Tamandua tetradactyla: one gene and its partners. The main gene of each other region encodes a partner of the protein of the gene in region 3 in a complex. Links are inferred from orthologs where the notes say so. Each region holds a gene or a part of one and is shown on either strand. Other genes may lie near its edges. The genes, in order: GTF2F1, GTF2H4, GTF2F2 and POLR2C.

The links.
Region 1: GTF2F2 (region 3) and GTF2F1 share a complex: the UniProt entries of both Homo sapiens proteins name them as parts of the TBP-based Pol II pre-initiation complex. The link is inferred for Tamandua tetradactyla from reciprocal best matches to the Homo sapiens genes GTF2F2 and GTF2F1.
Region 2: GTF2F2 (region 3) and GTF2H4 share a complex: the UniProt entries of both Homo sapiens proteins name them as parts of the TBP-based Pol II pre-initiation complex. The link is inferred for Tamandua tetradactyla from reciprocal best matches to the Homo sapiens genes GTF2F2 and GTF2H4.
Region 4: GTF2F2 (region 3) and POLR2C share a complex: the UniProt entries of both Homo sapiens proteins name them as parts of the TBP-based Pol II pre-initiation complex. The link is inferred for Tamandua tetradactyla from reciprocal best matches to the Homo sapiens genes GTF2F2 and POLR2C.

The regions. Positions count from the first base shown.
Region 1 is NC_135337.1:75,641,728-75,649,733, forward strand, and holds the start of GTF2F1 (general transcription factor IIF subunit 1), read left to right. Parts: upstream 1-5,043; intron 5,044-5,127; 5' UTR 5,128-5,187; coding exon 5,188-5,282; intron 5,283-5,633; coding exon 5,634-5,706; intron 5,707-8,006. UniProt on the Homo sapiens protein: TFIIF is a general transcription initiation factor that binds to RNA polymerase II and helps to recruit it to the initiation complex in collaboration with TFIIB. It promotes transcription elongation.
Region 2 is NC_135331.1:85,837,098-85,843,919, reverse strand, and holds the start of GTF2H4 (general transcription factor IIH subunit 4), read right to left. Parts: upstream 3,013-6,822; 5' UTR 2,999-3,012; coding exon 2,765-2,998; intron 2,149-2,764; coding exon 2,006-2,148; intron 1,735-2,005; coding exon 1,630-1,734; intron 1-1,629. UniProt on the Homo sapiens protein: Component of the general transcription and DNA repair factor IIH (TFIIH) core complex, which is involved in general and transcription-coupled nucleotide excision repair (NER) of damaged DNA and, when complexed to CAK, in RNA transcription by RNA polymerase II.
Region 3 is NC_135330.1:113,744,429-113,751,935, forward strand, and holds the start of GTF2F2 (general transcription factor IIF subunit 2), read right to left. Parts: upstream 3,008-7,507; 5' UTR 2,851-3,007; coding exon 2,785-2,850; intron 1-2,784. UniProt on the Homo sapiens protein: TFIIF is a general transcription initiation factor that binds to RNA polymerase II and helps to recruit it to the initiation complex in collaboration with TFIIB.
Region 4 is NC_135342.1:51,142,286-51,149,584, forward strand, and holds the start of POLR2C (DNA-directed RNA polymerase II subunit RPB3), read left to right. Parts: upstream 1-4,288; 5' UTR 4,289-4,365; coding exon 4,366-4,451; intron 4,452-4,623; coding exon 4,624-4,673; intron 4,674-6,235; coding exon 6,236-6,304; intron 6,305-6,436; coding exon 6,437-6,489; intron 6,490-7,299. UniProt on the Homo sapiens protein: Core component of RNA polymerase II (Pol II), a DNA-dependent RNA polymerase which synthesizes mRNA precursors and many functional non-coding RNAs using the four ribonucleoside triphosphates as substrates.

The DNA of each region.
Region 1 (8,006 bases), on a different chromosome or scaffold from region 3:
ACATGTGCTGCCCGAGGCTCGGGGAATGGAGTCATTTGCTGGAACTTCATGTGCAGGAAGTGGCAGAGGGTGACCTGAGCCCAAGTATGGCTCCCCTCAGGGCAATGTCAAGACAGGGCATCCGGAGACCTGAGTTCTGACCTGTGCTCCCCACCTGGGTAAGTTTTCCTTCTTGGGTCTCAATTTCTCCCTCTGAAAAATAAGGTTGTCAGTCTCCCTGGAACAGAGATCATGTCCAACCTTGGCTTTCTATGAATCTTCCTCTGATGAGGTCTTCAGTGTACAGTGAGAGCAAGAATCGTGAACAGAATAAGCGCACACTTCTAAGCATTGTGTTCTTAAGTGACGAGATTTCTATCTGGACATCCATCTTCAAGCCAGGCCAGCATACTGCACCAAACAAAGTCAGCCTTAAAACAGCAGCTGCGTGAACCAAGCGGGATCAGCGATGGTGCTTCCCAGTTTGTGCAGCTGGATTGAAGGGCCGAGCTGGATGGCTCCAGGGATGCTTTCCTGCTTAGAACCTGTCCAGTCTGATGACCCTTAGGTAGAGGGGCCAGGCCGACGATGGAGACCTAGAAAGTTCTCCACGTCCACAAAGCAAACGCTAGCAGAATGGACAGCCCTGTTCATCTCTGGTCTTCTCACTTTGGCAGCCACACATTCCTCTTTCAATTGAAACAAGCCTGCATGATAGTAAGTGAACAGGTGACCCCTGGGCTCGGTGCTCGAGTGAGAGCTGGGAGGGGGTCACCGTGGCAAAGGGAGAAGGCCCAGCCTGTGCACGGCTGCTTGGGGGTGTGGTTAAGAGCATGTAATTGGGAACTGGACTGCTTGGGCTTCCATTCCGCCTTCACAAACACTTAGACTGTGTGACCCTGGACACGGTCCGAGATCCTCTTGTGGAAAGGCAGTATGGGGACTAGAGCCATCCCTGACGGTGACAATTCAGCCATGCCAAGCGTAGAGAACAGTGCCGGCCCAGCCAGCACTCAAGACGCGTCCCCGTCCCTGTTGCCAGGGGGACGCATTGCCAAGTCAGCCGGCTTTTTTTCAAGAAATGTGATCTGAGATCTCCCAGTTTCTGAAGGTTCACTAAGAATTCAAGAACAAGGCTGTCTAGTCCCAAATGGATGCATCTGTGGATCAAATGGGTAGGTTGTAGGTTCTGTCTAGACTCTGCAGCCACTGTGGGGTCCATGCAGCTGGCAATTATGATGGGAAACCTATTTAAGGCCAGAACTTGGCCCTGAGGCCATGGAGGGCAGAAAATGGCTCAGCCAGCCCTGTGCTCTCCTGGAGTCTCCATCCAGGAGGGAGGGAGCCCAAGATCTGCCCTTTAACTTCATCACAAGTCGTCTGGTGTAACTGCTTGAATGGAGACAGGGACACAGGGCAGCACCCCACTGCTCTGTGACCTTTGATTGCATCAACACATCCAGACCACTTTGAAGGGAATTTAACCAGAATCGACACCCGCTGTAGTTTCCCTCTTCCTGCTACCCATTTCCAAATGGAATCAGAACAATCCCAGATGCTCCTGCCCTCAGCCTCCCCGTTCAGAGGCTCAGATGGATCCTTTCATGGAGTCAGTGTCCACAGGTAAAATTAACCTGAAGAAATCCACTCCAATGTCCTCTGTCCCTTCCCTTCCCCGCCTCTGCCTGGGTCGCTATTCCACCACCTCTGGGGCTGCTTCCAACTCCATCCCTCCACTCCTGGGCACCCCCCAGACCACCTAAACTTAGAGAGCCCACTCCCATCCCTCCAGGATTCATTCTGCTTTCTGTTCCCCACTGCCCTCATCCCTTCCAGAAGTTTCTTTGTTTTGTTTTGCACGTATTGCTGGGCGCCTGATGTCCCCACTGGAATGGCAGCATCTTAAAAGCAGGGCCCATGTTCCTCCTCTTGGCCTTTGTCCCCAGGCCCGAGGACAGCACCTGTTCTCAAGAACTATTTGGGAATGGGTGGTTGAATAGATGAAGGAGTGGTGATTTACATCCCATCCTGTGCCCTAAAGATGATACAAACTCAGTGGGGAACTATTTTATCTACTGGGTTCCAGGAGCTCTGGAGGAAAACAGTGAGAGGCCCTCAGAGAGCTCACTCAGGTTCTAGAAACTTCCCCACAACCTGACTGTCCCTTGATAACACATTTCCCTTCGGTCTCCTCTGCCGAGTCTCACTCTGTTGCCCTCGGCTTGCCCTCACACACACATACACGTGCTTTTGGGGTCACTCACAATGCACTCAAACTCCTTGGCCTGCTGCAGTTCCCGAAGGAAGCCATCAATGAGGAAGCCCTGGCTGTCCGGGCAGGACAGCAAGTTGTCGCTGACCATGTCCAGGATGATGCCCTGCGAAGGAAGCAGGTGGATCTGGTGTTTGGGGTGGGGCAGGGGGGCCCTTCCCTGCACCCACCACCCTGGGAGAACTTTTTTTATATGATCACTTTGATGGGGTGACACCTACCCTGCCCAGTGGCCTCTGAAACCCACTTCTGAGGATGGGCACCCCCCCCACACTGTTGACTGGGTGGGTGTCAGTCCAGGTGTGCTGGGTCCCATATGATTGAAATAACAATATCTCGAGGTGGGTCCTGGTGTTACAGAGGGGGTCCGGGGTCCACCCAAGGCCACAGAGGGAATAAGGCCCAGATGATTTTATGGAAAGCTTCCTAAGTGCCAGGAACTTCTGCTCAGTGCTTCAGAGGAGTGACCCACGCCTTCGGACATGGGTCCAGTCGGTCAAACCTGTCTCCCAGATGAGGAAACGGAGGCTCAAGGCAGGCCAAGCAAGGGCTGGGAGCCACGGCCACCTGGGAGGTCTGCCTGGTGCACCCCCTCCTGCCCTGACCCTTGCCCATGAGCTCTCACCGTGGGCACCAAGAGCCCCTGCAACATGATGTCACGGATCTGCCGGCCCCGCTGAGTGCCCCGCTGCGCCTCCTGCCGCAGCAGCTGGCCCAGCCCCACGTGGCAGAAGCTATATCTGTTTGCCATATTCTTGCACTGCGTCCCTTTGCCACAGCCGGGGCCGCCCATGAAGAAGACGATGAGGGGGTCTTGAGGACACCTGTGGTGCCCAAGGAAGAGGGAGGAAGACGATTTGGGGTCTGATGGGCTGGTGAGCACCAGTGTAGCTGTGTTCACAGTTAGGGCGTGCTCTTGGGTGGCAGTGCACACAGGTCTCCTGGCATACCCTCTTTTGCCCTAGGATGGCCTCTGGGGTCCCTGGACATATCCAGGAGTATACCCAGGCACGTTATGAGTTGCTACTGCCATGGGCGGCTGTCCACGAGCAAATGAACTCGAGCAGGCCAAGCTCTTCACAGCATCTCCTTGAATCAGCCCACCAGCTCTATCATCGCATTTCACAGTTGAGGAAACTGAGGCTTGTAGAGGAGCAGGGACTCTCCCATGTCCCCAGACTCATTCCATCCTCCCCTGCCCCATCCCAGTGCCCATTTTTCTGTTCCTTTGAACATGCTGAACTCATTCCTCCCCAGGGACCTCCACCTGGAACACTGCTCCAGCTCCTTCAGGCCACACATCAGCCCAATCCTCCCCCTCTCATCCCCAGTCTCAGGACACCATTTCCTCCACAGCAGAGACCATGGCCACTAATTATTTTGCCCATTTACTTGTTCTTGTTTGTCTCCCCAGCCGGACTCTGTCCTCCATGGAGGCAAGGACTCTTTCTGTCTCGCTTATCCCTATATTTCGAGCGCTTGGCACAGTTCCTGATATATAGTCATCAGAGAGGAATAAAGTAATGCCCAAGGCTACCAGGCACATCTACGGAGCCTGTAGTTTACAGTTGCATTTTTGTGTCTTGCTCCCCTCTCCCTTTGCTTGGTAACTCTTCTGCATCCCTCGGGGCCCAGCTGAAACCTCCCATCTCTCCTGAGCAGGGAGTTGGTTTTGCTCAGTCCCCCAAACAGCGCAGCACACAGTCGGAGCAGGTGGACCAACGAATGAATGGCTGCGTGGTGAGCATGCGCGGTCGGCGGAGGCGGGGAGACCGCGCATCTGCACTTCCCTCCTCAGTTCCCTTCCCCTGCCCCCAGAAAGCTAACCACCCCAGCTGTTACCCTTCTCCTGGGGCCTCAGGGTCCTGCCCATTTTGGGCAGCTTGGACTTGCACAGACCCATCCCGTCAGCCGCCAGAGGGGTGGTCGCTACCCATCCCTACCCAGGGCCTGACCCCTCCTGGCTAGGCTCGACGTCACAAGGGCTCCCTGGTCCGACCATCTTCCGGGATGAGGGGGTTCCCCGGGGGCAGGAGGAGGAAATGAACCCCAAACAAGCCCTGGTGGAGCCGCAGTGGCTCTGCGGGATGAGTAGGCCTCGGCTGCTATGGTAACAAGGATTCGATGGATTCACTTCCGGAGATGACGCGTGCGCAAGGCGCCTGGGACTCAGCGAGGAGGGAGACCCCCTTTCCCTACCCAGAATGCCCCGCGGCCATTAAGGGGTGACGTCGATGGGGAGGGCGTTCCCAGCCGCAGTGATTGAATCAGTCGCGCCTCTTTCTATATATAGATAGTGGAAAACCAGAGCGCGAGCGGCAGAAGGTGCTGCATTGAGTTCAACTCGGTCTAGAAAGAGAAGGGATAAGTGTCAGCAAGTGTAGGGGCCCGCGAACCAGGAGGCGGTTGCCATCGCGACACGGGGCCACGGAAAGTTTCGCTTCCAGGTCAGGCGGCGGCGCAGGCGCAGACGGGCGGGAGTGGGCCGGCGGCGCTGAGGACTTGGGGTCTTCTGTCAGCGACCGCTTCCCGCGACTAAGAGGACTGCTTCCCCGAAGGCTGAAGGACGCGAACCTCGGGGGAGGCAAGAAGGAGGAGGCCCCGACAACTTGACTGGGTCGGACGGCACCCGGACCACTGACTGTTCCCATGGCGGCCTTAGTAAGTATGCGGCGGCTTTAGGGAGTCCCGACCCGGGTCTCTTAGCAGCCCGCCCGCTCGTCATCCCACTTCCTCTCTCCACAGGGCCCCAGCAGCCAGAATGTCACTGAGTATGTCGTCCGAGTTCCTAAGTAAGTCCCAACCCCACATCCCATCTGCCTCCAGACGGGAATTACGACCTCTACGAGCTTCTAGGCGTGTCTGATTCCTTTTAGATCGGGAGCCTTTGAGGGCAGGTTGAACTGAGGTCTCTCCAGGGGCTTCTGTTGTTTTGAATGAATAAGCGGGCGATCATCACTGCACAGCATGATTCAGGCTCCTGGCCTAGCATTGGAGGCCTGTATGCTTCTCTATTCCCCGCATTCTTGCTGTAAGGACATATTTTTATCCTTTCTCCACTGGTCTGGCTTTCATTCATGTCCAGGACCTCCAGGAAGCACTCCCTGCTTGCCTCCAGCTCTGCCCCCTCCCTTGCTCACCCTACTCTCCAGAGCCAAATTCCCCCAGGTCTTTGTCCTTATTTCTGCTGTACTTTTGCCTGTGGTTGGGAGAGTGTGGATCTGGCTTCCTTGACAGACTGGAAAACCCTTAAGTCTTTTATGAGTCCCTAGCATTGCCCTGCCCAGAGGGTCAGCCCAGAAGGGTTTGTTGAATGAACAAATGTATGAATGAATGAACACTGCCTTTTTTTTTTTTTTTTTTTTTTTTTTGCCCACTCAAGAAACACAACCAAAAGGTATAATATCATGGCCTTTAATGCAGCTGATAAAGTCAACTTTGCTACTTGGAATCAGGTAAGTCCTTTGTTTGGGGGTGGGAGTAGGTGGATGAGGGAATGAGAGAACCTGATTCTAATAGCTTGGAAAGGAAGGCTGTCCTGGAGTGGAAATAAAGTGATGACTAAGGCCCAGGCAGAGCTGCTGGATGTCCGCTTAGGGGATTTGGCAGACCCTTCAGAAAGCCTTCTTCAAGGAGAATGTTTAGGAGTCATGCCCACTAATGGGCATTTTGGGCCCAGATTGTCAGGGCCAGGAAGGGACTCTGCTCTGGGCTGCCTCCTACACGTGGCTCCAGAGCCCCCTGCAGGAGAGCTTCTAGAAATGACCTTGGAAGCCATGAAAGGGTTTTTCAAACAGGCAAGTCACAGAGTTATCTAGCTGCTGGGGCTAGGGAGGCAGCACTGCGTCTGGTGAGCAAGGCTGGGAGAAAATGGAGGTGATGAGCAGTGGTTGGACTCTGATATGTTTCGGAAATAGAGCCTACAGGGTTTATTGATGGATTGCGTATTGGCCAGTGAGGGAAAGTGAGGAATCACAGATGTTTCCATTTACTAAGATAGAGAAACCTGGAGAAAGTGCAGTTTGGATGGAATATTCCAGAACTCCATTCTGGAAATTTGTATTTGTTAGATACCAAAGAGAAGATGAGAAGTTAAGCAAGCAGTTGGATATATGAGTTGGAGTTTGGGTGTGAGTGGGAGTCGGGGTGTTTAGGGTGCCACCGAGACTGGGCAGTTGAGCAGGGAGTTGGTGGAAGGTTTATAGCATTGGCAGCTTCAGGCCCTCCCACAGTTGGGCAGCTCTGATTGCATATATTGTGAGCATGGTTCTCTTTCAGCTGTTTTCAAATATTGTTTCATCCAATTGAAATAATGAAACTATATGTTCAAGATGGCTCTGAGTGATTGATTGCCCTAGAGAGCGTGTTCCAGAGAGATATGCCGTGCCTGCATCCCGGGATCTCTAGCTACAGATCTCTAGCTACCTACTTACGTACAAACTAACAAGGTCAAACTAACATGCTTTCCACCCCCTACCTGGTCCATTCCCCCCATCCCAGCCTAGTCTGTCATCTGATACAGTGTTTCTAAATCCCTTATCACTGGGGGAGGGGGGCTTCTGCACTAATCATCCAGGAGAGAGATGTAGGGGCACCCTTCTCCCAAATCCCTAATCACCAAGAGGAAGTCCTCACTGGTTACCTGGGAACATTACCCTTAGTCCTTCATCAACCAGAGGGCTGCCCTTCCCTACCCCCATCCCCGAGCACCTAGAGAACTTTACACCTTTGGAGGAGCTGTGCTCCTAAACACCAGTCACTTTGAGGAGGTGCTACCCCAACACTGATCTTTCAGGGACAGCACTTGAGAAGTCAGCATTATGCAAGGTGCATGACCTCCCGACCACTAGAAACTCGGGGTTCTGCGTACCCCATTCATTGATCGCCATGGAGAAGCATGCCCCCACCACTGATTGCCCTGGAGGACTCCTTGTTTCTAATCTGGGAGATGAGGCACCACCACCCCCCCCCCAAAATCTAATCATTCCATTGCCGAGGGTACTGCTTCTAAAGAAATATCATTGTTCAGGGTACCCTCCTCTAAAAAAACTAATGAGGAGTGGGCAAAACTGCACCCCTTGGAAGAAACCAATCTCCTGGAGTAGATGCCCCCTTAATCACTGTTTTAGTTTGCTAAAACTGCCAAAGGCAATGTACCAGAAATGAGTTCGGTTTTACAATGGGGATTTATTAATTTACAAGTTTAAAGTATGAAAATGTCCAAATCATGATGTTTTCTCCCCATTGACTGATGATCCTCAGTTCCTCTGTCACATGGCGAGGCATGTGGCTGGCATCTGCTGGCCCTTCTTTTTCAGGTTTCCTTGCTTTCAGTTACTGTCTGCTCAGACTGTGGCTTTCTTTCTGAGTTTCTGTGTGCTTCTCTTTTAGCTTCTGTCCCTCTTAGCTTGTGTCTGATTCTGAATGTCATTTCTTATGTAGGACTCCAGTAAGAAGTTTTCAGACCCACTTGGGGCATACCTCAACTAAAATAACCTACTCACAAGGCCCCCACCTGCAATAGGTCTACACCCATGGAAATAAATTAGCTTTAAAAACGTGATCTTTTCTGGGATATGTACCATCACATTCACTCATCACCCCAAGAATGGGGTGGTTACAGCTCTCCAAATGCTGTCAGCCACAAGGGACAGCCCCTTTCCTGACACTTAACCACCCCCAGGCAACACTGGGGTAGAAACTACCCCCAGACACATTCATTCAGCAATAGTTCCTTGAAACTGTCTTCTAGGCT
Region 2 (6,822 bases), on a different chromosome or scaffold from region 3:
ATAAATTTCCTTTACTATAAGACTTAAAAGTCTATACATGTCATGACTTGCTCTATTGCCAAGAAGAAAAATACAGTAGGCAGAGTTTCTTAAAATTACTTAATTATGAATTTTGTAGTATACCCATTAATATTTCCTGGAAGTGACCCAAGAAACAGCAGTTCGGGAAATACAGCTGTTAAGAAATGTGTATCTAGATAGAGGAAAATGTTGGGAGATATCTTATGAATCTTACAACTGGAGGTGGTTTTATGGACCTTAAACCTAAAGCAAGAACACTGAAGAAGGAAATAAATAAATGGGAGCTCCTCAAAATTAAACACTTTTGTGCATCAGAGAACTTCATCAAGAAAGTAGAAAGACAGCCTACACAATGGGAGACAATATTTGGAAACGACATATCAGATAAAGGTCTAGTATCCAGAATTTATAAAGAGATTGTTCATCTCAACAACAAAAAGACAGCCAACCCAATTACAAAATGGGAAAAAGACTTGAACAGACACCTCTCAGAAGAGGAAATACGGATGGCCAAGAGGCACATGAAGAGATGCTCAATGTCCCTGGCCATTAGAGAAATGCAAATCAAAACCACAATGAGATATCATCTCACACCCACCAGAATGGCCATTATCAACAAAACAGAAAATGACAAGTGCTGGAGAGGATGCGGAGAAAGAGGCACACTTATCCACTGTTGGTGGGAATGTCAAAGGGTGCAACCACTGTGGAAGGCAGTTTGGCGGTTCCTCAAAAAGCTGAATATAGAATTGCCATACGACCCAGCAATACCATTGCTAGGTATCTACTCAAAGGACTTAAGGGCAAAGACACAAACGGACATTTGCACACCAATGTTTATAGCAGCGTTGTTTGCAATTGCAAAGAGATGGAAACAGCCAAAATCTCCATCAACAGAAGAGTGGCTAAACAAACTGTGGTATATACATACGATGGAATATTATGCAGCTTTAAGACAAGATAAACTTATGAACCATGTAATAACATGGATGGACCTAGAGAATATTATGCTGAGTGAATCCAGCCAAAAACTAAAGGACAAATACTGTATGGTCCCACTGATGTGAACAGACATTCGAGAATAAACTTGAAATATGTCATTGGTAACAGAGTTCAGCAGGAGTTAGAAACAGGGTAAGACAATGGGTAATTGAAGCTGAAGGGATACAGACTGTGCAACAGGACTAGATACAAAAACTCAAAAATGGACAGCACAATAATACCTAATTGTAAAGTAATCATGTTAAAATACTGAATGAAGCTGCATCTGAGCTATAGGGTTTTTTTTGTTTTTGTTTGCTTGTTGGTTTGTTTGTTGTTGTTTTTTTTTACTATTACTACTACTTTTATTTCTTTTCTTTACATTAACATTTTATATCTTTTTCTGTTGTGTTGCTAGTTCCTCTAAACCGATGCAAATGTACTAAGAAACAATGATCATGCATCTATGTGATGATGTTAAGGATTACTGAGTGCATATGTAGAATGGTATGATTTCTAAATGTTGTGTTAATTTCTTTTTTTTTTTCCGTTAATAAAAAATAAAAAAAAATAAAAAATAAAAAAAAAAGAAATGTGTATCTATCTGAGGATGCATTGGAAACTCACTTGCTAAATTCCTTCTTCACCCACAGGGCTACAGCAGCTTGTGGTAAAGGCTGTTCCAGAAAGAGCATACGCATAACCCAGTTCTTAGCTAAAGATGGGAGCTCCCTGTAGAAAGTAGAGGTCAAATGTTATCATCAGAAGCTGATTTATATCTATAATTGCCTCCAAGAACCTCTCAAATATTTCATCTCACCTCCTTACACACACAAATACAAGTCCTTACAAGTGCCGGTGCCCCCCAAATCTCAAAAGTCCATTCGTTTTGGTCTGCCACCCTTTGGAGTAATCTCCAAGAACCCTCAGGGTTAACTTATTCCAGTCTGCAGGCTCCCATTACATTTCCCCACCATGGTCCTTGCCATGAAGAGGTCCTCACCTGAAGACAGCCAGACAGGTGGCAGGGTGCCCATACAATCGGTCCAATACCCCTGGGCTCAAACCCCCTAAGAATTCCTGCAGGTTCCGGCATTGTAGGTGTACTCGGTTCAGTCCACCCCGTGTGGGGGTGCTCTCCATCACCTGAGAGACGCCAAATATTAGAAGCACATCCCCACCATCCATGACTATGTCTCCCCTCACCTTTCTCATCAGAATTCCAGATCCCTCCACCCCTACCCCCACCCTAAATAACCCAGGTTTTCTGTGGCTCCCTCTTCCATATGCCACTCATCTCATGTTACTTCAAAATCTGACCAGCCTCCTCTCCTTTCCTGCCTCCTCAACCCACTTCTGTCCTCAACTTCAGTCTTCTCTGTTTCCAGGTGACAGAATTAATGATCATTTTGTATTTCAATGACTTGTCTTATCTTTAATTGAGCAGTTGAGCCCGATTTGCTTTCATCCCAGCCCCTCCTGGCCAGATCAACCTGTGAGATGCAAATCTGTCAGTCCTTCCCACCTTCTATTTCTTCGCCCTGCGTCTCTTGCTAAGCATCACAATAAACTACCTCTGCCCTCCATGTCTCGCCAATCGAATTCCACCTTTCTCCCTCCCCCCCAAGTCTCTTTCACCCCATTCACTCTGACCCCACACCGTCCTATGTCCTAACTTTTCCTCTACTTTCCTCCCACTCCGCGCCTTTCACCCAACTCTGCCTGATACCTCCGCCACCCCACCTTCCCAGGGCTGCCTCACCACTTTGTTGATCCCACCTCGTGCACCCCGAGTCTCGAGCGGTCGCTTAATCGGAGCCAATGTTTCGCAGTAGCTCCTGGGAATAGGGGAAAGAATGGTGAAAAATACGAGAAAAAAAAAATGGGGAGAAGAACGAAAGACTCCACAGACAGGAGCCGAGAGGGACGGATTCAGAAGAGGAGTGGAAAAGTGGAAAGGCAAGAATAAGTGCTGCACCCGCCTGTCGCGGGGCATGCTGGGAATTGGAGTCTGGTCCTCGCTCGCTCCCATCGGGCTCGCACGCGCATGACTACAACTCCCGACAGGCACCGCGGAGAAGCGAGCCGGGGAGAGGCTGGTTTTAATGGAGAGAGCCGAGGACGCCAGGCCGGGCCGATTGGTTCCGCTGCTCACTCCGCCCACGCTGATAACGGCGCTGCTCACCGGCCTTAGCGGGAGGCGGGACCCGGGAGTAGATGGGCCGCTTGGAGGAAGCGCGCTGAGATGCGGCGGCGGTGAGACGCTTAGGCTTATAGATACACGAAACTGGGTTCCTTGAGCTCATTTACACCCCCCTAAAATTGTCATAAAGCACACTCCTAAAGTGTTTTCGCGAGTTAGGTGTTAACACGACCCATTACGCCTTACTTGGCATGTAAATCTTAATTTCCACCTCCACCACGCTTACACCGTTTATTAGAAGGTCCTGATAAATACAATTTCTTAAAGAAGCCAGTCGTTTGCTCTGATTTGATTTTCGAACCTACTGCAGGGAAAGGGAAAGGAATGTCTTCAGTCGAGACCAGAGCTACGCGTTTCCCCAAGTTTCTGTGAGGCGACCTTTGTTCTTTCCACTTTACAGACGAGAAAACCCAAGCTCAGCGAGATGAAGAAATTTGCCCACGTATGAGACAGCTACGAAGTGATGAGGCTGGGTTTTGAGACGCGTTTACAAGGAAGCGAGGGACCGAAGACCAAAATGCTAAGGACAGCCTAAGACTTCGTTAGCCTTTGCAGCTGGTACATGTTATCTTCTTGTTCCCTGTTTCTGTGGCAGTCAGTGTTTAAAATCCTCAAAGCATGACAGAGAACTGATAAAGCTTCTTTATGGCACAAGGTAAAGAAAGTCAAAATACAAATTATAGCCTGGGAAGAAATGTTTGATAAAACAGATAAAATGCAGAAAACTTACAGAGCAGTAAGAAAAAGGAACAGTGCAATGAAAAGATCTGCAAAAGAGAGGAACAGGCAAAAAGCAGAAGAAATACAAATGCCTTATAAATAGAGGAACAATTTGCAGCTTCACTAGTAATTAAGGAAAAGTAAATTATGAAACAAAATATGGTAAATTAAAGAGACAATAAAATGTCAGATTAGGAAAAAAATGAAGTTAAGGGTTGACAACGTCAGTGCTGGCCAGGATGTAAGAGCATACACATACACTTGTGTTGAAGATTGGCATATGCACGCCTTTTTAAGGGTAATGTGGCAGTATCTAGCAATATTTTAATGTGACTTAGCAACTCCAGCTTTAAGGATATATCACACTGAAGTTCTCCCACATGGGTGCAGGAATATACATGCAGAGATGTTTAGTGAGGCATGTTTGTTGTTGTATTATGAAAGCAATGGAAACAACCCAGATGTCTGCCCTCGGGGTCGGTTATATAAAACGTGCATAGTCCCAACAATGTAAGATACTGGGCAACACTTTGAAAGGAGGCCAGGTATATTTAGTGGCCTGGAGCTATCTATGGCCTATCAGCAAGGGGAGAAAAGCAGATTACAAAATGGTGTACATAAATTAATGGCACCTTTGTAAACAGATTTTAGGCATGTGTAAAACTGAAAGGCCATTTGGTTCGTTTTGGAGGGAGCAGACAAAGGCCAACTGGGCAGACCTCTTGGCGAGCCCTGCTCTACGGGATGCAGTGGGTGAGGGCAAGATGTCCAGTGGCAGGAACTGAGCACATAACTGTTCCTGGAACTGAACTTAAGGAAGAAAATCAGCTTGCTGGGCCTGACAGGGGGCCTGGGGGCTGAAATTGTGGAAGGAGCTCCCTGATAGAGGGTTGTCCAGTCTGTGCTTGGAAATGCCCTGCTATGGAGAGCTCACAACCTCCTCCCAACAGACAGCTTCCTGGACAGAAAGAACATAGAGCCACCCTTTAGCATGCTTCCCACCCAGTGCCGCCATCTGCTGGCTATGCAAGTTTAGGCATGTTGCTTAACCTAATACTCTTCATTGTGAAATAAGTAGGATACCTAACAAATATTCATCATCATTACTGATTTCTATAACTTTCACGTATTGACCCTGGTTCCCTAGCTACACAGAGTAATCCAATCCCTTATATTAACCTTTAGATATTTGACAAAAGTTCTTTCTTTCAACCAGTATTTACTGATACCTTTCAACCAGTATTTACTGAACTTGCCCTTGTGGAGCTTAGTCTAGTGGGAAAGGCAGGTATAAGAAAGTATATGTGCACAAATACATGTAAAATCGCACCTGTAAAAGTGCTACAAAGAAGAGATTGATGGGCTCTGAGAGTATCAGTAGAGGATTTGACCTGGTTAGGGAGGTGAGGTACGGCTGCTGAAGGGCAAGTAGAAGTTAACAGGACAAAGACAGCAGGCACGGTCCAGCTGAAGGAATAGCATGCTACAAAGGCTCTGGGCAGGAGGAACTGTGACATGTTGGAAGAGCTGAAAGAAGGCTAGGGATGCCTAGAGGAGAGGTCAGAGAAGGACTCTAGAGAGGTAGGTGTGTGTGGCCCACACTTGGCCAGAAGATGTTATTTTTTATTCTAAGATCAATGGTTTTGAAATAAAGGAGCAGAGTCGGACATGTGTGTTTTGTTTTGTTTTTTAATTACTCTGGCTGCAGTGCCAAAAGGAAACCACAGCGGAACAGGAGCAGATCTGGGGGTGACCGGCTAGGAGACTGCAGCGGTTCAGGCAAGAGGGCGGTAGCCCGTGTCGGGACAATGATGGAGATGGTGGGAAATGAATGAGTTAAAGGGAAACTGGGGCAGCATAATCAACAAGTCTTCATGGACAGACTGGACTTGGGAAGTGAGAGTAAGGGGGGAGGAGGTGTTAAGAAGAACTGCCTGGTTTCTGGCTTGTCCAGTTGAGTGGATGATGATTTACTGAGTCAAGAAACCAGGGAGGAGGAACAGGTTTGGACATGCTGAAATTGACATTCAAATAAACTTCAGGTGGTTATTGAGGTCTAGAGCTCAAAAGAGAGTTCCAGGCTTACCGCTATGGCTTCCATTGCTCGCCGTTCTGGGTCTGGCCTTGAAACTCCAACCTGTGGGCGCCCGTCTTAAATTGTGGTACACAGTGGTCTGACCTGTGTAGGTTTCAGTAGGACTGTTAGACCTGACCCCCGAGAGCCTGTTCATTCAACGTAAGACTAAAGTATCTTTTATTGGTGTGCTCATTATCCAGTTGACTCGCTTTGAGAATAGCATCAACCAAATACCCCAGGGTCTTTATTTCTCATGAACTGCTAGCAATACGTGTCTGCCCAGTCCGATACTTGCAACTATTTTTGGTGGCTGTTTTTTTTTTATTTATTATTATTTTTTTACCTCCTCCCTTTCCAGCCAAATCTGTACTCTTTGTTAAATGCTCTCTTGGTGGTTGTGACTCATCCTTCCAGGCCTCTGAGATAATTTAGGCTCTGGGTTCTGGCTTCTATCCAAACAGTTCGAACCTATTGGGCTATTTGTACAGTTCATCAGCCTAATCTAAATTAGGCTGGACTTCACCTGGACCTCCCAGATCCTGAGAGGGTCCTAGAATTTGGGTAAGAAAAAAAGGTTACACCTTTGTTTTTCCTAACCTCTGACTGAAACACTTCCTTCAATTATGAACATAGAAAACCCCACTGAAAATCAGTACCTGTGGCTTGTCACTAATAGGACATCACAGGTATTTTTATATCTCATTACAGCTGTTGTGGAACTCTCAAAATATTCTTCATGCTCATGGGCACATGAAAATGTCAGCAGTTAGCACAACTCCTGCTGGATGTTAATATTAAATATATTTAAAAGAAACATATA
Region 3 (7,507 bases):
CACACCCCTGAAAGATATATTTGCAAGTCCATTCACTTTCTTCATCCATAAAATTAGAAAAACGAAAAAAACGCATGCCAAGTTGATACAAGAGATTAATGATTCGGCAAATAAAAAAATAATCAAAACATTACAACTATCTATAAAATAAGAATAAATCATTGGCTTGAGTTCGTTTTAAAAGATAAAGTGTATTCAAATGGGCTTAGATGGGAAAACACCAAAAATATTTTTAGTTCTTCAATTTTATACTCATTACATTCTTTCACATTCATTTTGTCAGTCATCAAATCCCAACAACTTTTACTGAAAGTTTCCCTTACTCATCAGATCTCATCATCTCATACCTATTTTACTGCAAAAACTTTCCAATTTTCACTCTGGTCACCTTCCCCCTCTAATTCCTACTGGACACTGTTAAGCTTACCTTTTCCTAAAAGAATGCTTTGCATTCCTAACTTACTCAAAACTCTCCAAAGATCCATCACTTCATATAGACCAAAACAACCCCATTTCATGATATGACAATCTAGATACATGGTTCCAACCTCCCAACTTTTTTTTCATGGACACTCTCTGCTCTAGGCATAATGATCTCCTCTTCGTTTTCCAAAACATATCACATTAAAATGCATTTTCAGCTTCACGTTTCTGCTCTGATCTTCAGGGTATACTATGTCCTATCTCTGTTCACCAATCTAAATTCTGTAACACAAAACATTTAGTGTGCTCCAAGCACAGACACATCAAGATCCACAACTTTTTCAAGTTCTCTTCTTCATCCAACAAGAGAGAGCTTCTCCTTAAAGAATCTCCTCCGTTTAGCATGCAGTTTGAATGACAAATGGCTGTTTACTCTAGCCTTTTAAGTCATACTGATGTGGCCGGGAAATAAGTCAAAAGAGTGCCACAGACTAGGGCAAGGAAAGAGAGATCATGCATTCATTCATTCACTCACCAAATATTTTTTAAGTGATTACATGTGCCAAACACTATTCTGGGTAACATGCAAGGATACCCAGAATAGGTAAGGATGCTTTTCACAGAATGTGATTGTGTGTTGGGGGAGGGGGATAATTTTAGACCATGCCCAGTGCTTTGATGACTATAATACAGGTTTGACATGCTCACAAATGACCATAAAAGGGCTTAAAGGAGTGGACAGGAAGGAGCTCTCTGAAACTTAATTGATGAGGACTCATCCATGTGACAAGTCCCTCACGTATTAACAAACCAAACATCCCTACATTTTATGTAAGGCTCAAAGAATGTCATGTTCATATTTTGAACATGCCTATGTCTTCTGAAACTCCAAGAGACAACACTCCCCAATAAAAACAAGTCAAACACAAATACTGTGCTTTCTAAGGGCTACTGACTGCAAATGATGTAGCCCAAACATGAAACAGTCGTTAAAAAAAACACTTACTGTCAATTTCACCACACCCGTTAAGTGCCCTAAAAGAAGCAACCAGTCCTAGGAACGTTCATTTATTGCTGGTGGCGATGTAAAATGGTGCAGCCACTGAGGAAGACAGTTTGGCAGTTTCTCAGAAAGCTAAGTACAGAACTATCATACTACTCCAGAATCCCATTACTAGGTATATACCAAAAGAACTGAAAGCGGGGACAGGAACAGACATTTGCACTCTTGTTCATAGCAGCATTATTCATAATTGCCAAAAGATGGCAGCAACTCAAGAGTCCATCCACCAATGAACAGATAAACAAAATGTGGTATATACAAACATGGAATATTATTCAGCCGTAGAAAGGAATGAAGCCCTGATACATATGACAACATGGACAAACCCTGAAGACAACAGGCTGAATGAAATAAGCCAGACACAAAAGGACAAATAGTGTATGATCTCACCGTTTTGAAACAATTAGAATAAGCAAACACACAGAGTCAGAATCTAGAACATAGGTTACCAAGGGACTGGGTGGGCAGGAAGTTAAGGCTTAAAATGCCCAGGGTTCCTATTCGGAATGATGGAAATGTTTTGATAATGGATGGTAGTGATGATACAACACCACTGTTAAATCAATTAACAGCACTGAAATGTATGGCTGAATATGATTCAAAGGGGAATGTGAGATTGTATATAACGTAACAATAAAACTTTTTTTTTAATCCATGGAACTGCTTACAGAAACAGAATACTAAATTAAACCATGGACTTGACGATAAAACTCTTAATGCAAAGTACGGGTGGTGGTGGTGGGGTGTATATAAGAATCCTGCATTTTATGCACGATTTTTCTGTAAACCCAAAATTCTCTAATTAAAAAAAAGAAACTCCAGCCATCGATAGCCTCTTCTCCCATGTGTTCGGTGCTCTCCATCAAGACGCCGCCGACTAAAAAGAACACTTTCAAGGGTATGCAGGGACCAGTTTTCTTTCTAGCTAAGAAGACCGTACAGAAGATTAAGAAAGCAGTTTCTTAAATTCAGTATGCTGACTCTAGACTAACACTGGTTTCACTAAGAGAGAAAGCTGAAGTCGTGGACACCAAGACAGGTCCCAGGGCAAGCCAGTTCGTGGGGAAGGGAGACGCATTCCAGGCAGGAGCCAACTCCTAACTGACTGAAACGACACTATGTCTCTCTGAGCACCTCCGTCTACAAACGAACGTCTTAACTCCTGCCTCTTCAGGTATGCGAAATTCTAATAAGATGGTCATAAAAGGACTTTAAAGGCTGCACGGAGTGGGACTGTCTCAAGTGACTTAAACAATTTCTACTAGAAGAAACGCAGGCGGGAGCCAAGCGAACAGTACCTTGACCAGCCACACTCCCGTATTCTGTTTGGCGCCGGTCAGGTCGAGTTCGCCGCGCTCCGCCATGGCTCGGTCACCGATGGAGGCGTGCGCCGGAGCAAAGGTCGAGCCGCGGAGGGAGTGAGAGTGCGAAATGCCGGGATCGCCCACCAGCCAGGAAGCAGGGAACCCGAGGAAAGAGAAACACGCCTCTGGTGACCAGAACTGCGCCTGCGCACTGCTGACGTCAGTACGGCGTGCTGCTGCAGGCAAAAATCCGCGTCAGATGGGCGGGCCTCTTGGATGAGCGTGGCCGGTGAATGGTCGTGGAGCTGGTGGTGTCTTGAGCGGTTTAAAGAAGTGGGTCGGGCCAAAACGCTAGCAAACCTTCAAAGACTATGTCAAAGCAGAAAAATGGAGTTCAGCGAGACAAAAGCTGCCAGTTTATGTCCAACCCTGGTTAAGGAGAGAGAGTCAGAAAATTGCTGGGCAGGGTGCGCATAATAGTAAATTTGCACTGGTGTTCAAAGTTTCTGGGACGCGAATTAGCACACGTGAGCCCTGAGATGGGACTGATTAACCCTGGGTATACTGAAAACGTGCCGTTTCTAAACCTGAAAAGAAGAGTGTCTCAACTTAAGAGGCTGTTCTAGGAACCTCTGACTGAGCAGTGAAGGCACACCTTGAAGGCTCCAAAACCCGGACCTCATATATATAATTAGGTCAAAAACAGTGTGGACATGTGAGAGACAAGCCTAGTTTTTTAATTTCCCAGCTTCAACAGTTTCCTGTCTCTCTTGCCTCTAGAATAAAATTCCATCCTCTCTGCCGCATGGGCCTCCCCAATTTGATTCCTTCTCACCTCCTGCCACTCCTCTCCACCAAACATTCAACCACGCAGAACCTAGCAGACCTCTGTGAATATGACAGGATCTTCGGCAATCATTTCAGAGGCTCTAATTCCCTTCCATTTGATGTCCTATTCTTCCCTCACGCCCACTCGCATTGCTGTCCCCTGCTTGGCAAGCTCCTACTTAATCTTTCAAGACTGATGGAAGTGTCACTTTCTATGAGACCTTTTATCAAACTCCCCCAGAGAAAGTTCGTTTTTCATATTACAGTGTGTGGTATTAGCATACTGCACTGAAATATACGTTTACATGTCTGCCTTTGCTTTCTAGACTATGAGCTCTTCCTAGACAGAAATAGCATTTTATTCATTTTTATATTCATAACGTCTAGCACAGTGTTTGACACATTGTCAGATCTCAGTAGCCTTTGCTTGAATGAACATTTGCTGGAGAAAAACAAACAGTAAGATGTAAGAATGGCAAGTAGTGTATTAAACCACGCATTGAGTCATGCACAAAAATAATTCCATGTCTCTCTGCACAGGGCCTGGAAGACTATCAGGTCTCTGAAGTCACCTGGGAAAACTAATAGGAAAGATGGGAGCAGTGTGTTAGAAAAAAAGGTTCTTTTCTTGTGTCACAGCTTGGGAAGGGGTCTAAAAGTATATAAAGGACAAGTAGATAAAAGAAACTACTTTAAGTTTTGTTTGTTCTGTGTGTGTGTATGTGTGTGTGTTTTACCCAAGCTTTTCTTACTTTCTACATTATGGAAAATTTCAAAAGTTTATGAATGTAGCAATACAACAATAACCTCCATCATCCAACTTCAGTAATTATCAACTGTGCTGGTTTGAAATGATGTACGTACCCTAGAAAAGCCATGTTTTAATCCTAATCCCATTTTGTAAAGGCAGCCATTTCTTCTACTCCCTATTCAGCGTTGTATGTTTGAAACTGTAATCAGATCATCTCCCTGGAGATGTGATATAATCAAGAGTGGTTGTTAAGATGGATTAGGTGATGACATGTCTCTGCCCATTTGGGTGGGTCTTGATTAGTTTCTGGAGTTCTATGAAAGAGGAAACATTTTAGAGAATGAAAGAGATTCAGAGAGAGCAGAGAATGCTGCAGCATCACAAAGCAGAGAGTCCACAAGCCAACGACCTTTGGAGATGAAGGAAAATGCCTCCCGGGGAGCTTCATGAAATAGGAAGCCAGGAGAGAAAGCTAGCAGATGACACCGTGTTCACCATGTGCCTTTCTGAGATGAGAGAGAAACTGTGACTGCGTTTGCCATGTGCCTTCTCACTTGAGAGAGAAACCCTGAACTTTATCGGCATTGTTCAACCAAGGTATCTTTCCCTGGATGCCTTTGATTGGACATCTCTGTGGACTTGTTGTAATTGCGACATTTTCTCGGCCTTAGAACTGTAAACTAGCAATTTATTAAATCCCCCTTTTTAAAAGCCATTCTGTTTCTGGTATACTGCATTCCAGCAGCTAGCTAACTAGAACATCAACTCATGGGAAATTTTGTTTAATTTAGAACCCCATCCGAAGCCCACCTCAAATATGTTCAAGCAAATTCTAGATTTCATCCATATTTCTTAAAAAACAAAAGCAAACAAAAAAAGACTAACCATACTATCACTCCTAAAATGAAATATCCAGTTGGCTGACTTAAATGAAGATTTAAGTAAGGTCCATCTATTGTAACCGGTTGCTGTTGTCAGAGGTCATTCAAGCCTGGTTCCAGGCTGGATGTCTCGCCGCAAGGAGGAATTCAAGGATGAGACATGCAGGTATAAGCAAGTGAGAAAAGTTTATTGAAGAAAAACAAAGTACACACTTGAAAGGAGAGCATATGGGTGCATGGAACACATGCATGCTCAGGGGAGAAACTTGGGCAAGTTGTTTGGCATAAGGGTTTATCAGATTAAACAGAGGGAGGTGGGGTTTGGGATATTGGTACATTGTGATTGGTTACTAAACATTTAAATTAAGGATTGTAAATAGGCTATTGTGATAAGCTTTCTAGACTTTCAAGTTAAAAATTGTAAATGGGTTATTGTGATTGGTCTATGCCCTGTGCTTGAACAAAGTATCCTGTTTTTGCTCAACCTCCTCAGATTTTAGGAAGATGCCCTCCTCCTGCCTCAGAGGCCTGCAAGATGTTTTTCGTGTGTCTAAACCGCCTCAGTTGCTATCTTCAACATTTTATTGAAATTATGGGTCCCTTATATTTTTCCTTGCTTTATATTTGTTAAAGTCCTTGAACATACCTTTTTTTAAAAGGCAGAGCCCACAGGCTTTCTTGGTGGATTGGATATGGGATGTGTAAGAGAGAATTCAAAGTTGGATCTAAATTTTTCCTGAGAAATTGGAAGGTTGAAGTTGTCATCAAATGAGATGGGCAAGGCCAGAAGAGGTGTTGCAAGAATAAAATGAGGTTTAGCTTTCACAAAAGATAGTGCAGGAAACGGCTGCAGGACAGCTCTAACCAATCCTGCAGGCAAGGAAGGAGAGAATTTCAGATATAAGCCTAGAATTGGCGCCCAAATAGGTAGAAACGAGTTTAAATAAGTGATGACCAGATTCACTGAAATGTAAAGCATAATCAAAAGTGGGAACCTTCAGTGGTAAATTAAAAAAAAAAAAATTTTTTTATTGACAAACATAACAACATACAAACATGAACATTCTTAACATATGTACAATCATTCTTCACATATAATCAATGAATCATTTAATATCATCACATAGTTGTATATTCATCACTGTGCTGGTTTGAAAGGATGTATATACCCTAGAAAAGCCATGTTTTAATCCTAATCCCATTTTGTAAAGGCAGCCATTTCTTCTAATCCCTATTCAGTATTGTATGTTTGAAACTGTAATTAGATCATCTCCCCGGAGATGTGATTTAATCAAGAGTGGTTGTTAAACTGGATTAGGTAGAGGCATGTCTCCACCCATGTGGGTGGTCTTGATTAGTTTCTGAAGTCCTATAAAAGAGGAAACATTTTGGAGAATGGGAGATTCAGAGAGAGCAGAGCAGAATGACATAGCCACGAGAAGCAGAATCCACCAGCCACTGACTTTTGGAGATGAAGAAGGAAAATGCCTCCTGGGGAGCTTCATGAGACAGGAAGCCAGGAGAAGAAGCTAGCAGATGATGTGTGTTCACCATGTGCCATTTCAGATGAGAGAGAAACTCTGACTGTGTTCGCCGTGTGCCTTCTCACTTGGGAGAGAAAACCTGAACTTCATTGGTCTTCTTGAACCATGGTATCTTTCCCTGGATGCCTGTGCTCTTTTGAAAGGATGTATGTCCCCTAGAAAAGCCATGTTTTAATCTAAATCCCATTTTGTAAAGGCAGAATAATCCCTATTCAATACTGTATGTTTGAAACTGTAATCAGATCATCTCCCTGGAGATATGATTAAATCAAGAGTGGTTGTTAAGCTGGATTAGGTGACAACCTATCTCCACCCATTTGGGTGGATTTTGATAAATTTCTGGAGTCCTATAAAAGAGGTAACATTTTGGAGAATGAAGGAGATTTGGAGAGAGTAGAGAATGTTGCCACACCACAAAGCAGACAGTCCATAGCCAGTGACCTTTGGAGATGAAGAAGGAAAACGCCTTCCAGGGAGCTTCATGAAACAGGAAGCCAGGAGAGAAAGCTAGTAGATGACGCCGTGCTTGCCATGTACCCTTCCAGCCGAGAGAGAAACTGTGACTGTGTTCACCATGTGCTTTCTCACTTGAGAGAGAGACCTTGAACTTCATCAGCCTTCTTGAACCAAAGTATCTTTCCCTGGATACCTTTGATTGGACATTTCTATCGACTTGTTCTAATTGGAACATTTTCTTGGCCTTAGAACTTTGT
Region 4 (7,299 bases), on a different chromosome or scaffold from region 3:
TGGTTTTCCCTATTATTAACATTTTTCATTAGTGTGCTACCTTTGTTATAATTGATGAATCAAAATTATTTAATTATATCGTTAATTAAAGGCCGCAATTTACATTACGGCTCATTCTTTGTGTTGTACAGTTTTATGAGGGATTTTTTGTTAATTGTGGTAACATATATACAATATAAGAATTTCCCTTTTAACTACTTTGCAGCCTACAATTCAGTGATTTTAATTACCTTCACAATGCTGTGCTACCATCAACACTGGAGATAATACATTTTATTAAAGTAAAGAACATTGGGCTTTTTTCCCAGCAGCTTCAGAAGCCACATATGTGACCCAGACTTGAGGGTGGAGGGGAAAGGATGAAGGCCTATCATTTAAGGACTTGAAAATAACTAGGGTTTAATATTAGCAAGAGTGGAAAGATAGGACATTCTTAATACACTCTCAATGAAATTCGTAGAATCTAGTGGACAATCTGACTATAAAAATCTGCATAGTTGATTCAATTAAATAAAAATGTATTCAAAAAGATCACTTTTAAATCAGATTAACAAAGAATAAAATGTTTGATAATATCCATGTTGCCAAGAAATGGTGTTCTAGTTTGCTAGCTGCCGGAATGCAATATACCAGAAACAGAATGGCTTTTAAAAGGGGAATTTAATAAGTTGCTAGTTTACAGTTCTAAGGCCAAGAAAATGTCCCAATTAAAATAAGTCTATAGAAACGTCCAATCAAAGGCATCCAGGGAAAGATAACATTGATTCAAGAAGGCCAATGAAGTTTCTCAAGTGGAAGGCACATGGCGAACACGGTCAGGGTTTCTCTCATCTGGAAGGGCATGTGGCGAACAGGACGTCATCTGCTAGCTTTCTCTCCTGACTTCCTGCTTCAGGAAGCTCCCCAGGAGGCATTTTCCTTCTTCATCTCCAAAGGTTGCTGGCTGGTGGACTCTGCTTGTTGTGGCTATGTCATTCTACTCTGCTCTCTCTGAATCTCCCTTTCTCCAAAATGTTTCCTCTCTTATAGAATACCAGTAAACTAATCAAGACCCACCTGAATGGGTGGAGATGGGCCGCCACCTAATCCAGTTTAACAACTGCTCTTGATTAAATCACATCTCCAGGAAGATGATCTAATTACAGTTTCAAACATACAATACTAAATAGGGATTAGAAGAAATGGCTGCCTTTACAAAGTGGAATTAGGATTAAAACGGCTTTTCTAGGGTACATACATCCTTTCAAATCGGCAAAGATGGAAAATCAGGAAATAACATCATGAGGGGATTTACTGGAGATTATTTGGTCATATTTATCAAAAATGTATTCATACCTTTTGAGCAGTTTCAGGTGAAGGAATTTGTTTAACTGGTACTTAACTGTGGAAAAGGATGTTCATACAGCCCTATATATAAAAGTAAAAAACTAGCCACACCCTTAATGTCCATCATTATAGAACTGATCAAATAATTATATTTTTATATGATGTAAAGAATTATATAAAAGGAACAAGTTGATTTGTATGTACTGATCCTACACACTTTGGAAGGCTCTATAAGAAATTTAGGTTTTCCAATTTATTTCCACAGAATAGCACTTCCAAATGTGTGTTTTTTTATTTAACCGAGAAGGCACAGGCTGTATTAATTTCCTGTGGCTTTCTAAACAAATAATCACAGGCTTTGTGGTTTAAAACAACAGAAACTTGTGCTGTCAAAGTTCTGGAAGCCAGAAGTCTAAAATCAAGGTGTCCACAGGGCGTGCTTGCTCCAGAGGTTCTTGGGAGGTTCTGCCCTTTACCTCCTCCATCTTCAAGTAGCTATTGGCATTCTTTAGCCTGTGACTGCATAACTCCAACCTTTGCCTGCACCTTCACATTGCCTTATTTGTGTGTGTCTTCTCTGTGTGTTATCAGGACACTTGTCATTGGATTTAGGACCCACTGGATAACTCAGAATGATCTCTTCTTAAAATCCTTAACCTAGTTATATTAACAAAGACAAATACGATATTCACAGGTTCCAGTGATTAGGATGTGGACATATCTTTTGTAAGGGCCCCCATTCAGCCTCACTAGACAGGTCATGGAGCTAGGGCCCTCAAGCTCTTCCTCTCAATCTCAGGAAGAGGTCTCATTTCTTTTATTAAAATAAGGAGCATTAACTTTTGTCTTTTGTTTTCAGCAATTTGAGAAGCCACTAGAGGGGAAGGGATAGGGTACAGACCTGTCATTCAAGTATACTTTGCTAAAGTATTCTCATTACTAAAGCATACTTTCATTTTCCATAGAGGTTAAAAATTTACTTCTGTCTTCTTATGGGCTTCACTTTATTCTTATGTATTTAACCAAGTCTCTATCAACAGACAATTGGTTTTGTTTGTAATCTTTTGGCATTATAAACAACACTGCAGTGAATGTCCCTGAATATGTATCTTTACTCACAAGTGCAAATATATTCTGCTGAGGAATTCCTAAAAGTGTTATTGCTGAGTTAAAAGCTATATGCATTTGGGTCTTTTCCTAATATAACTTATGTGGACAGCTTAATCGAACACCATAGTACTTGGAACCTTGCGTAGGGCATGAGATTTTGTATGTTTGTCCAGAGTGATGTCCAGATAAATCCCAGAGCGATTTGAACAGTGAATAGGAAAGTATTTGCAGAGTTCGCTAGGGGAAATGGTGAGGAAGGGGGAAAATTCAACTTCCCCAAGTGGAGAGTTCTTGATGTTCTCACAGGCAGTAGGCGACAGCCAAAGCAATAGGCCGAGCCTCTAATCTTGGGGTTTGTTCATATGAAACTTAATCCTGCAAAGGATAGGCTAAGCCTATTTAAAATTTATAGACCTTAGAGTCACCCCCAAGAGAACCTCTTCTTTTGCTCACATGTGACCTTTCTCTCTCTTGGCCAACACAGCAAGCAAACTCACTGCCCTCCCCCTCTCTACATGGGACATGACTCCCAGTGGTGTGGACTTTCCTGGCAACATGGGACAGAAATCCTAGAATGAGCTGGAACTCAGCATCAAGAGATTGAGAAAATCTCGACCAAAAAGGGGGGAGAGCAAAATGAGACAAAATAAAATATCAATGGCTGAGTGTTCTAGTTTGCTAGCTGTGGGAATGCAACACACCAGAGACATTGGCTTTTAATAACGGGATTTATTTCGTTAGTTCTTCAGAGGAAAGGCAGCTAACTTTCAACTGAGGTTCTTTCTTACGTGGAAAAGCACAGGGTGATCTTTGCTGGCCTTCTCTCCAGACCTCTGGGTTCCAACAACCTTCTCCAGGGTGATTTCTTTCTGCATCTCCAAAGGCCTGGGCTGAGCTGTGAGTGCTGAGATGAAGTATATGAGCTACTTGGGCTGTGCTACCTTGAGCGCTCTCATTTAAGCACCAGCCAATTAAATCAAACATCATTCATTGCAGCAGGCACACCGCCTAGCCGACTGCAGATGTAATCAGCAACAGATGAGGTTCACATGCCATTGGCTCATGTCCACAGCAATAGATCTAGGCATGTTCACCTGGCCAAGCTGACAAGTGAATCTAACTACCACACTGAGAGATTCCAAACAGAGTTGAGGGGCTATCCTGGAGTTTATTCTTACACATTAAATAGATATCACCTGTTTAGTTAACGTGTAATGGAGAGGCTGGAGGGAACTGCCTGAAAATGTGGAGCTGTGCTCCAGTGGCGGGCCGTGTTTCTTGAAGATAATTGTATGATGATATGGCTGTCGCAGTGTGACTGTGTGGTTGTGAAAGCCTGTGTCTGATGCTCCTTTTATCTACGGTATGGACAGATGAGTAAAACATATGGATTAAAAATAAATAAGGGGGAACAAATGTTAAATTTAGTAGATTGAAATGCTGGTGATCGGTGAAGGGAAGGGGTAAGGGGTATGGTATGTATGAATTTTTTTCTGTTTTCTTTTTATTGTTTTTTCGGAATTGATGCGGAATCAAGAAATGATCATGATTATGAATGTACAACTATGTGGTGATAGTGTGAGTTATTGATTATATAACAAGAACGGAATGATCATATGATAAGAATGTTTGTGTTTGTATGCGGTTATGTATCATAAATAAATTAATTTTTTTAAAGCTATATACATTCAGGACTGGGGGCAATGTCAAATTTCCCTGCGAAATGAACCTGGTGCGTTTTGAAGCAGTTGGATTTACAAAAACTTCCTTCGATAGTCAGGCCCGGAGCAGTTTTGGTCTCCGAACAGCAGGAGACGCTGTGAGCGCGTCTTAGCGGAAGTAGCCGGGGCCTGCAGGCGACTTCCGGTATGGGCGGCCGCTGAGACGCCGCGGAGCTGACGGCAGAGGCTGGGCCGGCTGCGAGGCGCAATGCCGTACGCCAACCAGCCCACGGTGCGAATCACCGAGCTCACGGACGAGAATGTCAAGTTCATCATTGAGAATACGGACTTGGCGTAAGACTGCGGAGGGAAGAGACTGAAGGCTCTAGTGCTAGAGTGTCCCAGGGAGGGGAGGCTGGGGACCTCGTATCCTTCCAGAACTGGCACCTCCTGTGCCAGGGTCTTCGCTTGGGAAGTGGGGCCGGCCGTGGCGGCGCCTTCACCCTGCTTCATTTTCCCTCCTCAGGGTGGCTAATTCTATTCGGAGGGTCTTCATCGCCGAGGTGCCTATAATAGGTAAGCGACTTGGCCACATTGCCTCTCCACCCATGGGGCTTCTGCTGCAAACCCTTGGGTGAGGCTGGGGGTAAGGGTGGGGTATAGCTGGGAGCACTGAGAAAACAGCAATGCTGGAGACTTACCTAACCCCATGTCCTTGGCCTGGCCACTGTTGGTCACTTCCCTGACTCTCACGGGTCACTTAGGTCCACCGTTCCATATACACTGGCATTTAGAGGGGACAGACTCGATTTCTGCTCTGGTTTTCCAGGTACTTGATATATTGACAAGTATACTACAGAATTTTCTGAGTGTCTGCTCCCAGAGTTTTGCTTAAGCAAAAGAAGAATGTTATAGGTACTGCATCAGTGTGCAGTCTATTGTGAAATGAACAGGCCAAGTGATAAGCCACAATGTTATTTTGTGGCTTATCTCCCACCTCGGCACCAATCACTTCTTCAACTCAGAGCATGGAGTGCTAGTTGGACTTAATGATACAGCCTGAATTCTGAGTCTAAATGCCACTTGTTCCACAAATTCAATTCTGCAAATATTGGGTACTTCCTACAGTCCAAGCCACAGCCAAGAATACAAAGGTTAAGGTATCTCAAGACTCTACTGCAAAGAATTTTCAAAGCTAGAAGTAGAGTCAAGGTGCACACAAATAAAATACAAGGCAAAATATGATAAATGCCTTGAGAGGTTTGGACAGTTTTTTGAGTGAGTTCAAAGGGAGAGAGTGATTGCTTATGTCTCATGGAAGGCAGGCAAGGCTAGGGTTTTGGAGAATCAGGATTTCAGCAGGCAGAGGGGAGGGTAAGGGTATATCAGGGGGAGTAATGAGGCAGAAACAGAACAGCTTGGGTTATGGTCCTTTTTCGGCTGAAGCAAATGGCTTGGGTTGGGGAAGCAGTAGAAAGCATAGCAGGACAAAGGAAGTCAGGGCTGGCTAGGGCTGGCCTTCTTCTGACCCCATTCCTCATGTTTAGGCCCTTCATTTGAATGAATGAACGTGTGTTTAAACAAGTATATGTGAGAATAGAGCCCTTTTCCTCCCACTAGCTCATTAGAAGGTATGGGGTTCTATACTTAGTATGCCTTGTCTGTTGAGGAATTCAGTTAACATGAATTGATTTAATAAAGTGCAAAATTGGGTGAACTGGTCACTAGTTCATAAACTGAGATAAGGGCCATAAGTCTGTGTTACTTCTGTGAGGTTTTACCCAATTTTTAAATGTCCAAATAATTTGTGTTTTTGGAATTCATGTTCCCATGGGTAGCAAATTAGTGCTTCTCATGAAAGTATTCAGCACAAAGAAATATGTTCCCACTCCCAGTCTCTAAGACAATGTTTTGTTTTTGTGATAACAAAGACCCCTTTGCATTACATTCACCGTGTGTCTTGTTAAAATGAAGATTCCTGGGCCACTCTAGAGCTGTAGGATCAGTCTCTGGCAGCCTGGCCAAGGCACCTATGATATAATAAATAGCAGGTGATTTCTAAATCTCACAAACCACTACTCTTAATTCTGTAGCTGAATTTGGTGGCTAAACTGCATCTCTGTTTCCTTCACTTTTAGCCATTGACTGGGTACAGATTGATGCCAATTCCTCAGTCCTTCATGATGAGTTCATTGCTCACAGGCTTGGTGAGTGTTGGGTTTGGGTGTTGGAGGGTGCAGTGCCTGGTAGAAACCTTACTTGCATCCATCGTGGCATCTTCTAGGTTCCCTTTTGGGTTGGCTGCTTAGCCTTTAAAGTGTTTTTTTTGTGTTTTCCAGGATTGATTCCCCTCACAAGTGACGACATTGTGGAAAAGCTACAGAACTCCCGGGTATGCTTTGTGGTTGAATAAAAGGGGAGGCAGAGTGGGAGATGCCTACCTACAGTTCTCAGAGTGGTTTTGCCCAACAGTCTGGATATGTCAAGAACCTGAGACAGGGCTTGGTCCTCAATTCTGACAGGGCTTCAGATTCAGTAGGCTCAGGGGGCATCAGGAAGTCCCATTAGGTAGCCACACAAGAGGATAGTATATACCCCAGAATGCTCATTTATACTGAAGAGTGAGGGCTGTATCTTCTCAGAGTCTGAGCTATTCAGACTCTGTATTCCAGGGCCTCTCTTCCCAGTGACGGAGGCTTAGGAGGCTAAAGGAAGTCAATGGGAAGTTGGGATGGTGAAGGAGAGGAGCAGAAGGATTGGGAGCTGTCCCACAAGAACTGCACCTGAGGGACTGGCTATTCGTGTCTGCCAGGTTCATGCCCCTCCCCCGCAGGTGCTGCAGGTTTGCTCTCTACCTGTACGTTTGCTCTCCCAGAGGATGCAGTAAAAGGTCTTTGTCAGACTGGGGATAGAGTGGGATTGGGTTGGGTTCCCTTCACTAGGGCTGCATTAGGTAATTTGAGACTATTAGCTCATGATGTCTTTGGGTGATCCTGAATTGACCCTTTTCTAATATTCCCAAGGGCATGTCATTTCTGCGGTGGCTAATTCAATATATCTTGTAAGTCTATATGTATTTTTAAAAAGACATTCAAACATCCAGAAAACTATGGAGGTAGTTTAACAAATGAAGATGTTCCTATTAATTAATGTCCCATCATAACATTTTGCCATATTTACTTCACATCTCCAGATTTTTTTA